Linked DNA regions of Coturnix japonica. The protein of the gene in region 1 purifies or fractionates together with the protein of each later gene. This does not show direct contact. Links are inferred from orthologs where the notes say so. Each region holds a gene or a part of one and is shown on either strand. Other genes may lie near its edges.

What was found.
Region 2: the proteins of SKP1 (region 1) and PTAR1 purify together in Homo sapiens (co-immunoprecipitation; 3 studies listed by BioGRID and IntAct, with this or other methods). This does not show direct contact. The link is inferred for Coturnix japonica from reciprocal best matches to the Homo sapiens genes SKP1 and PTAR1.
Region 3: the proteins of SKP1 (region 1) and ARHGEF6 purify together in Homo sapiens (affinity purification with mass spectrometry; 3 studies listed by BioGRID and IntAct, with this or other methods). This does not show direct contact. The link is inferred for Coturnix japonica from reciprocal best matches to the Homo sapiens genes SKP1 and ARHGEF6.

What each region holds. Positions count from the first base shown.
Region 1 is NC_029528.1:2,251,477-2,254,564, reverse strand, and holds the end of SKP1 (S-phase kinase-associated protein 1), read left to right. Parts: intron 1-79; coding exon 80-223; intron 224-884; coding exon 885-1,025; intron 1,026-1,212; coding exon 1,213-1,248; 3' UTR 1,249-2,444; downstream 2,445-3,088. UniProt on the Homo sapiens protein: Essential component of the SCF (SKP1-CUL1-F-box protein) ubiquitin ligase complex, which mediates the ubiquitination of proteins involved in cell cycle progression, signal transduction and transcription.
Region 2 is NC_029547.1:31,243,806-31,247,457, reverse strand, and holds part of PTAR1 (protein prenyltransferase alpha subunit repeat-containing protein 1), read left to right. Parts: intron 1-1,620; coding exon 1,621-1,790; intron 1,791-3,652.
Region 3 is NC_029519.1:4,241,813-4,245,464, reverse strand, and holds part of ARHGEF6 (rho guanine nucleotide exchange factor 6), read left to right. Parts: intron 1-786; coding exon 787-933; intron 934-1,559; coding exon 1,560-1,646; intron 1,647-2,380; coding exon 2,381-2,459; intron 2,460-2,619; coding exon 2,620-2,753; intron 2,754-2,833; coding exon 2,834-2,959; intron 2,960-3,652. UniProt on the Homo sapiens protein: Acts as a RAC1 guanine nucleotide exchange factor (GEF).

The DNA.
Region 1 (3,088 bases):
CTAAAATAAAGTTATGTGAGAGTTGGGGCCTAATGAGAAAGTCACCTGGGTAAAAGTTTGTTATCAAAACTGTAATTAGGTGATTCAGTGGTGCACCCATCACAAAGATGATCCACCTCCTCCCGAGGATGATGAGAACAAGGAGAAAAGAACGGATGACATCCCTGTGTGGGATCAAGAATTTCTGAAAGTAGACCAAGGAACATTGTTTGAACTCATCCTGGTAAGTATTTGTGGAAGCACGAAGGCTGTGCCTGCACAGTGACCTCTGTTTGTGTGCTTTAAAAATAAGGCTCAATGCTTCTTATTCTAGTAACTTCTTAATGCAGAGAATATGGGGAGGGCAGCAGTTCCAACAGTGGCTGCTGGCTGAAACTGGTGAGTGGTGGATGCTCGTTAACATAAAGCTAGGCACTAATTTATGCCTGCTTATCTATCAGTTCCCATACTTGTCCGTAGTTGTGTCCCTACAGCCGTCTGTTTCTCTTTCATGGCTGTTGGGTCTGTGACAGCTTGTTACTTGTGGTGGTGTTTTAGAGCTCTGCAGAAATGGGGATTTAAAAAAAGCTGGATTAGTTTCTGATGTGATTCTTCAACCCGGCAGCTCCTGTCTGAGCTGGATGACAGCACTGAGGTGTCCAAGGTCTCAGCTGTGCAAGGTTCCAAATCCTTGTGTAAAAGGAGATGGGGCTTTCGTGGTGGAAACAGCCCCTGTTTGACAAGGAAACTGTAGACAGTTAATTCAGGGTTCCAGCTGGAAGCTTTGCAGTGATTTGGCTCTTTGTGGTTATAGCATCTGCAGTGCTGGGAGCAGAACTTCAGTTGTACATCTGCAGAGGCAGGAAGTTGATCTGGAAGCTTTAAATTTGGAAACTGTTTTACAGGCTGCAAATTACTTGGACATCAAAGGTTTGCTTGATGTCACATGCAAGACAGTTGCCAACATGATCAAGGGGAAAACTCCAGAAGAAATTCGCAAGACATTCAATATTAAGAATGACTTCACTGAAGAGGAAGAAGCACAGGTACTTGATTTGGACTTTATTAAATTAATAATTTAGCTGTTTTTCAGCTGCATTAACGTGTGATGCTTCATAATTTCATAATGTTATGCCTTTCTACAGTAAGTAAACACCAAATGCTTATGGGAGTTTACGTTTCGCTTGAGCTTCTGAAGCTCTGCAGCACATCACAGCTGCTTTGTTCTTCCAGGTACGTAAGGAGAACCAGTGGTGTGAAGAGAAGTGAAGCGCCGTGCCTGATACTCGAACACTGTAAGGATTGTTCCAAATACTAGTTGCACTGCTCTGTTCATAATTGTTAATATTAGACAAACGCAGCAGCAAATGAAGTTACGTTAGCAGGATATTGTTCCCTTTGCATGTGTAGTGGGTTTTTTTTTTTTGAGTATAAATTTCAATCTGCGTTTTTATTAGTGTGATGGGGTGTCTTTTTACTTTACTCTGCAATGAATAAAACTGAACCAAGTGTGGATTCTGTATGGGAAGTAGCACTTCAGGTTGTCATCTTCATTATACTTTTTTTTAACTGTTCCAAGTCCAGTTACGATCTTAAGCGTTGACTCCACCGTTGTAAATAAAACCACCTTCGCTTTCTTCCTCAGGAAGAACAAACAGTGATTTACAGGGTATTGATGGCTTCAGAAAGGAACATTAAACGTGTCTCGGGGAGCTACGTAAAGCTTAGGAAAATTGTTGGTTTTCTTACAAAAGCTTTTTGGAAAATTGGTGTTACTTAAAGCTGTACAATTTTAAAGAAAAAGAAAAGATCTGCCCTCTTCCTTGTCCCGTTGGTCCTGTCTGATAGGCCAGTGAGTAGTGCAAGATGTTATCTAGGTCATCAAGTGAGCTTCTGACAGCAATCTTGGCATGAATCTTGGCATGCTTCTGCTGTGTCTTGAAGTCCTGCCTCCAGCTGGTAGAGATGGGATGTGCGTTGCTTTCTGCACAGGACAGGTGTGTTTTTATCCTTTTTCTTGCTGAAAGTGGAATCCAGGTTTGACCAAAAATAACTGACATTACCAAAGTTCAGATTACTGACCTGTGCATGCCATTAGTGGCTGGTTTTTAGGCAATTTTAAACTACCCTTGTGATGTAGCTCTTGAAAACCTGGTTTTCGTGTATCCATGGGAGATCTTTTTGCCTATGTATGTGATACTTCCGCTTGTAGAGACTTCTTATTGCATACAAAGCTAATGCAATATTGAGCTTGACTTCTTTGGACAAAGCCACTTGCAGTTAGTTAAACAGTAACTGGTTTCCTGATCTTTATTTTAATTTTTTTACAGTTCCCTTATAGGGAGTAGGGGGGTGGTGGTTTTGTGGTAGATCTGAGGTGTGCTCTTAGCTTGTATTGCATTCCATTCTCTGTATAAATCTTAGAGTAGAATGAACCTTAATAAACATACTTATCTCACTTTAAATATCAGTGTTTCACTTCTGAATTAATAAAGGGCTTTTCATCTTGTATTTACAGACGGTTCTAAATGTTTGAAACTAAACCTGTCACTTATGAGTGTGTGAGAAACAGTAACAGAACTGAGGGAGTGGTGAACTGAAATGAAATTGTTCTGTTTTAAATGATGAGAATGCAAACTGCTGGTCAGCGCCAGCCAGTGGCTCCTCATGTTGAATCTGAACCTAAATCCAGATGGGTTTTTTTTTGATGGCTTATCAGCTTTGAGGTAATCTTGCTTTGATGTAACCATTAATGAAAGCATTCATAACTTGCTGTAAAGCAGTGCTCAGATCCGTGCTTTGGAGGCAGCTGCTGGTCACATATGCTAATTCATAAGGCTGCTGGGCCCGGCTTTGTGCTGCTATAGCATTGTCAGTGGGCATAAAATGCTCCAGTGTTAAACACTGGGACGTTCAAGGCCTGCCAAGCATCCTGTATTGTAAACAGCACAACTCTGTTACAGTACCACAAGTGAAAAGCTGCTGGTATCTGCGCTTGTGGTTCAGTGTTCAGCTTACCCTGGATTCTTATAAGCAACAAATCCATCTCTGTGCATGAAGTCAGCGCTCAGGATACGCTGGTTTCATCCTTGAAGTGCCAGTTCTAAAG
Region 2 (3,652 bases), on another chromosome or scaffold:
ATATCTAATGCAAACCTTCCCGGTCTCAGTTTAAAACCTTTCCCCCTTGTCCTATCACTATGCACCCTCATAAACAGCTGTTCCCTTCCTGTTTATATGCTCCTTTCAAATACTAGAAAGCCACAGTGAGGTCTTCCCTTTGTAAAGGAAATGAAGACAGCAGGAAGCACAAACTTCAAGCTATAAGGCACCATATTGAAAGCATCAGAGCATCAGTCTGTAATGTCATTATAAGTCTAACCTGAATATCTTTGTGAAAGGCTTAATTTTTTTGAGTGGAACAATATAGGTGGAAATCACGTACTGCTTGCAGTTCGGTAGGTAGTAAAATTGAGTGTTTCCCTCTTTTTTTTTCTTCTTTTTTTTTCCCTTTTCTCAGATGAGTAGAGATGGAAGAGATGGGTAAGGGACCTGGGTGTGTGTCTAGAGACAGAGCCAAGTAATTTGCAAGTATCTTACCTCAGGTTATTTGTGCTCTTTTGCTGTCTGACATATTAAATCAGTTTTCTGAGTAAGCAGGTATACTTGTTCTTAAACAAACACATGGTGTCATTTTCAATTGCTTCACTAATAATCCACTGAGGACAGTGAACTAAATCAGTACCCTCAGATTATCCAGTAACAAAATTAGCATGTGGTAATTGGGTTGAGATTACGGGGTCAACACTTGGGATGTATCTATAGACCTTGTACTGAAAAAAAATAAGGTTCATCATCATTCCAGTTTTGTTCCATTGAACAGAATTTGATGGTGAAATCACACATGGTAGAAAGTGTAGAATTGTATTCCTTTTTGTCCAAGTGAGCGTGAATAATTGGCAGTCTGTTTTTGACTTTTAAGAACTGCTCTTTCATCATCCGTGTATGCTAAAAGCTAAGGAAAAAAATAATATAGCCCCTTGAAACTAAAAAGCCTGAGATGCTTCTGCTTTGTTTGCAGGTATGAATTTTAGTTGCCATCCTTTGTTTATTTCTAGATGGTTGATTAAAGGTTTAATATAATAAGTACATAAAAAGGACCTTCTCTGTTCAGGATTTTTGGGGAAACCTTATATAACATTTCTGAGTAAGTAGAGAAAGTCCAGAATCACAAAAAAAATTTACATGGCATTTAAAGGACTTTGAATTCATGCTTGTTTATTTAGTAATGATCATTACATTGAGACTCTTCAGCATGTCTGTAAGTGTTCCTGTTTTTCTCCTTTTGCAGTACTGGAGACATAATACACATTTTGCAGAGACTCTTCCTAAAACCACAGCTACCTTTTATGTTGTATCTGAATAGATTGTAAAGCAATGTAAAATATTATGGGTTTTCTGTTGGTTTTGGGTTTTTTTGCTCAGATTAGGTCTTTATTCAGACCAAAATGTGTTTGCATCATTTATTTGCTGAGTTAATTGACAGCACAATTATGCAGGAGATTACTTTCTAAAAAATGCATTTTATTGTACCTGCAAGTCTGAGTAGAAGCAAGAAAGATGAATTGAGAATAATGAGCACAGATTTTGGTATAAACAGGGGGAAAGGTGATGGACTGACAGCTGAAGTTTTGAAAAACATAATTGTCAAATACTGGAAGTAAATTTAATTGCATTTCTTTCTGTTATTTTTTTTTTAAGAGATGAAATTGGATTAATACCCTGTCCTGAAGCAAGATACAATCGGAGCCCAATAGTCCTTGTGGAAAACAAACTTGGTGTGGAGAGCTGGTGTGTCAAGTTTCTTTTGCCCTACGTCCACAACAAGCTTTTACTCTACAGACAGAGAAAACAATGGTTGAACAAAGATGGTAAGTTACCCTGTTGGAAATTAGTACCTGATTCTTAGCATACTTTATTTACTTTTATTTGACATTAAATTGGACTTTCTTAAATGTAGTTCAACCTGCAGTGAAAGAATTGAATGAAATCTTAGGGAAAGCTGGCTTTGTGTTGTGTATCACCAGGGATTGTTTATTGTTTCTCATTTGAAAATGCAAACAAATCCTTTATCTTGCCCAAGCTGGAAGTGTTGGAGAGATGACTTACTCCCATGAATGATTAAGGAAAGTAGTGTTACTGTTTGCAGAAGGAATGATGATGTCCTGTGACAGGAAGGCAGCTGTGGTAACATGTGGATCTGAAGTAAGAAAGAAGTTCAGTGTTTTTTTGGACCTAGGGGTACCAGAAGTTGTTTATTGAAGCACTTTGTTAATTGTAAAATTCTATCCTCTTTTTTCTTTCTCTGTTGCTGATGTTCCTCTCTTTCTTTTTAGTTTGTTTCACTTGCATGAAAAATACTTCTGCATGGTTTTGTCTATTTTGAATTATGAAAGGTGTGGTGCTGGAGATACTTGTTTACAAAGTAACTTTGTTTAAATTGAGAATGAAAAGGGTAACTGTAGTTTAAGAAACTTTTTGCTGGTGGCTTCAGGTCCCTTCAGCTTAAAAACTTTTCTTTCTGTAGTCTTCTCATTTGGAATCTCATTTGTTGAGACAGTGACTCTTTTAGGCAGGTTTGGGTGTTTTTGTTTGTGGTGACACTGTCTGTTACATTCCCGTCCATTCAGCAGGAATGGCGAAGGTATTAGGGCTGTTCAGAAAGTTTTTCTGCTTCCTTCCCAGATGAAGAATTTCAGATCCTCCCTTCTGGAAACATAGGTCATAAAACAGTGTCAGGAAATAACAGGAGTGGTGTGAAACTTAGCAAATGGCGTATTTCTTTATTGAACATCTCTGAATTTTCTTCCCTTGGAGAAAAACTGCCCTTTCCTTTGTATTTTTAATTATTGAAAGCCAATGTACCTTGCTTGAGAAGAGATGACCTACAGTATTTCCATTGCTACCAAGTCTTTGTGTAACTACTGGAAAACATGTTGGAGACCTCACCATATTAGTAACATGTTTGGAAGCGCTGTACAGCTTACAACATTTAATATGCTTTACCATTAAATTGTAGTAGAAAGTGAGCAATCGTGGTGGAGGGCATGACAAGAGAGGTATTTTCCAGATTGACCTACAGAATTGCTGTTAACATAGTTTAAGCTCTTTATATTAGAAATATATTATCCTCTGTACTGGGACAGATGTTTAATTTTATCATGGTTTCTTTTGGAAGTTTGATTAAGAAGGTTTCTTTGAATCCCAAATCATGACTTTTGCTGGTGTTCTAGTTTATAAGTTTTTCTCCTTTCGTCAAGTTGTTTTAATTTATGAATGCAGACTATCTGTGATGACCCAAGACAGTAATCTGAAATTGCTACAGATATCTTTTCTTTTTGTGCAAAATGCTGTTCTGCCTTACTTCCTTAAGCCCGTACTTCCACCTTTAAAACAGCTTTCTGAAAAGCATGCTAATGTGATCTATGTAAGTTTGGATACAGTCATGTTTGGGGCAAAAAAAATAAAAAGGAGCTAGAAACCTGGTCATACTTGCCCTCCTCTGTCTGGAGAGACATCTTATGTCCAAAAGGATACCTGCATTGTAAGCATGTAGGATGCTGTATTTTGCTTTTTGAATTTCAAATGAAGTACGTGTTGAGTTTTGTTACTGACACAGAACTCAGTGGCAACTGGTAACATGTGCTAGATCTGTCATACAGCTTTCTATGGAAAAAGGCTCAGAGGTTTCTGAAATTCTGTCATTTGTCATCTCTGGCTTAGAATTCAAGCT
Region 3 (3,652 bases), on another chromosome or scaffold:
TGTGCACTGAGCAACTCAATGTAATGTAGGACTAGAGGGGTTCGCTGTGGGTCTGAGGTTTGATGGGCAGGGATGCTTCTCATGGGCCCACTGTGTCTGGGGTCAGAAGGTGAAGGCAGTGACTGCACAACCCTGCTGTGTGCTGCCTCTGCTTAGTCCACGAGGGACCTCTGAGCACTTGGTATGAATTTGCTCCACCAGTCCACAGTTGTGAGCATCGCTGCAGCCTTGTGCAGCTCCAGAAGTTCCCTTTTGTGCTGCTCCACTGCACCGCATCTCGCTGCAGATTCTGATAAGAAAATATCTGCACATCTGATCTCTAGGGGCTGTGCACCACTGCAGGGATAACTCCCTTTGCTGCTTCAGCAAAATGGGATGAACCTCTGAGTACCAGCAAAATGAGAAACGTTTAGCTGTGCGGCTCCCTTGGTTTGGAAAATGTGACCCTGTACTCTCAGAGGTAGAGCTGGTTTGGAAAGAAAAGTTTGCTCAGTGCAATTGGTTTGGAATCTGAACATATTCATTACACCATAAATCAGCGTGGTGTGATTCTTGACAGGGTTTGGGAAGCAGAGCCGAAGCAGTGATGATTTCACAAGATGGCAGCTGTTTTTTATGAGTGATAATATTGACCTTGGCTGGGTTTTTGTCATCATTCTGGGTTCCTTTTGTGGTAGAGGAGTAGAACTGAGCCCAGCATGGCTGATGGGTGAAACCATCTTCATTGGGATGGTCTGGGTTTGTGCTGGCCCTTTTGCTAATGGAGCGCTCTGTGGTGATTTGCAGTCGCAGTGCCAGGAGCTGAGGAAGAGGAAACAGCTTGAGCTGCAGATCCTTTCTGAATCCATCCAGCGCTGGGAAGGAGAGGACATAAAAACAATGGGAAACATCATCTACATGTCCCAGGTCATGGTGCAGAGCGGGGGCAGTGAGGTGAGTGCATCTCCTGCACGAAAGCATCATGCCCCAGTGCTGTGTTAACACAGCATGTTACTTTCCCTCTTTTCCTCCATGACTTACTCTGAGCAATGAGAAATGAGGGTGCCTTGTTGCTATCTGTTAATGACACCTGTTGCCATGTCCTGCATGCATTCTGTGACAGGCAGAACCCACTGCCTAAGTGTCACACCTGTACCTCCAGCAGGCACCCATCAATAGTGTTAGACCCATTAATACTGTGTGCTGGGTGTCTGCTTGGTGGGTGGTGCCTGTTAGCATTGACTTGTTTGCTTCCCTATGACCTGTTCTGCAAAGCCCTGCAGAGTCCAGTCCCCAAGTTCTGTTTGGGATGTGAGGTGCTGGGGACATGAGGTCTTGGTCTTCTGATGGGGAGGGGAAATCAATTATATCTTCAGAATCAGCAGGATGCGGAAGGAACTGTTTGCTCAGAAAAGCCAATGCAGAAATAAGATGCTGTAAAGAAAAGAAAAAGCCAAAATGAGTGGTTTGGGGTTGGTCCCTCTCAGATCGTGGCTGCAATTGCAGCAGGTTTGGTTTGCTGCAGGGGAGTGCTTGTGCTGCACTTCAGACTGGCCTAACCTCCATTCTTGTCCTGGCAGGAGAAAGAAGAGCGATATTTCTTGTTGTTTTCAAACGTTTTGCTCATGCTGTCTGCAAGCCCGAGAATGAGTGGGTTCATCTATCAGGTAGGCATGCTTGATTTGAAGCTGCAAGGCATCGGGTGTGGAAAGGATATCAGATATCTCTTCATCAAATTTGAATCTCTGTTGTGATGTAAATGGGCTGGGAAGCTGGGCTGTGTTCTGCCACATGTGCCAGGGCACACTGCGAGCACCTCTGTGCTGCCAATGGGTTAGACAGCATTTGGGAAGTGTGAATGCTCTGCAATTAGAACACAGAACCACACCAATACCTGTCCTGCATGCTGTTCTCAAGCATTCGGTGTGTGTTGGGTGTCCTGAGCTCACTGTGGGGTTTTTCCCCATACAAACTGCCTGTTAGTGGATGATATCTCACAGTCATATGTGAAGGTGATGAGGCAGATGGTGAAGGTTTGGGAAGGATTTGGCTGAGTTTTGAGATGTCACCCACCAGTGGGAGGGAGGTGAGCAGGCAGTGCATCACACAAAGCAGAGGCACAGGGAAGGTGTTCAGAAGGACCAGGGAAAGTTGGTAGTCCTGACTTCAGTGTAAAAAGGGTGAGTAGAATGAGTGGCAGGTGAGCCTCTGCTCAGGGGTTTAACCTGGTTGTGCAGGGAAATTTAGATCCATACATCAGAGGCACCTCTTCCTACAGTCTGAGGCTTTCACAAAATAGTTTCTAATGGCAGTTCCCAGAGAAGGGAATCAGCAGAAAGGAGCAGAACAACGCCCATGCAGGAGGCAGTCGCAAACACTGATTCCTGCTCACTTCTCCTAGGGAAGGCTGCCTTTAACAGGAATGACGCTGACAAAGCTGGAAGATGCAGAAGGGAATGAGCATGTGTTTGAAATCGCAGGTCAGTGTGTGGCCTCTTCCTGGGGCTGCTTGAGTGCGAGCAGCAGCTGCCACCAGTACCAGTTCTCCTCCTCTTTGCTCTTGTACTGTGTGCTGTCCACGTTCTGGACATCTCCCCATGCCAACCCAGCTAAAGCTGGCTGTTTGACCCCCTGTTGCAGGGAACATGATGGAGCGCATCACTGTGTCCTGCAGCACCAGCCAGGACTTGCACGAGTGGCTTGAGCACTTGCAGAGGTTGACCAAAGGGACGTGCAACACCGTGTCCAAAACACAGTCCTGGAGCACCCATTCGGTAAGTGAGCTCCCTCCCAGCCTGCCTGCTGCCCGCTGTTCCTCAGTGCTGGCTGAGCTTTTTCTCATCCATTTTCTCAGACATTTGGCTCCACCGGTCAGATCCGTGGTCCCCTGGAGCCCCCCAAAATCCTCAAACCCTGGAGCTTGAGCTGCCTCCGTCCCGCTCCTCCCCTCCGACCATCGGCAGCGCTGAGTTACAAAGAGGTAATGCCGTGTGCCTGGTGAGCACTGTGATTCCTTAACACTTGTGTTCAGCCATCTTACCCCAGTGTGGGTTTGCTGCTCCTTTAGGCAACAGGGATGCTGAGAGAAAACGCTGTGCAAATGAGTGATGCATGCTGGTTGCTGCAGCTGGCTTTGAGCTGCAAGTGAAGCATGAGCGTGTGCATTTACAGGGTCAACCCCATCCCCGGTGTCAAGCCCACAGCTGCACTGAGGGACAGGTCTGGTGTTTTGTATGATTTATACCTATGTTTTGGTGGCCCGAGCAGAGCGGTGCAGCAGCCGTGATGTTTGACCCCATATTCACACACCCATCACCCTCTGGGATGTGTAGCATCCCCCGCAACAACCCCCAGCCTGAGGTAGGAGGCAGCATGGGGAAACCCAAAATAAACCCCTGCTCCCATTCTCACCCCCCACTGCAACTGCAGCATCGTCCTTCCCTACCTTGCATTAAACTTTTGGGATTACTCACCAGTAACGTGGCAACGTTCCTCTTACTGACTGAGCACTCCAGTTCTGAGTCACCGGCCTTTCTGGGTACGGCAGTATGGGAGCATCACTGCCTGGGCTCCCAGGAGGAGAGAGATGGGGATGGGGACAGGGCTCATGGGCAGCTCAGCCCCCCAGCACGCAGGGACAGCGCCCACAGGGCTGTGGGGCTACTGTTCCAGG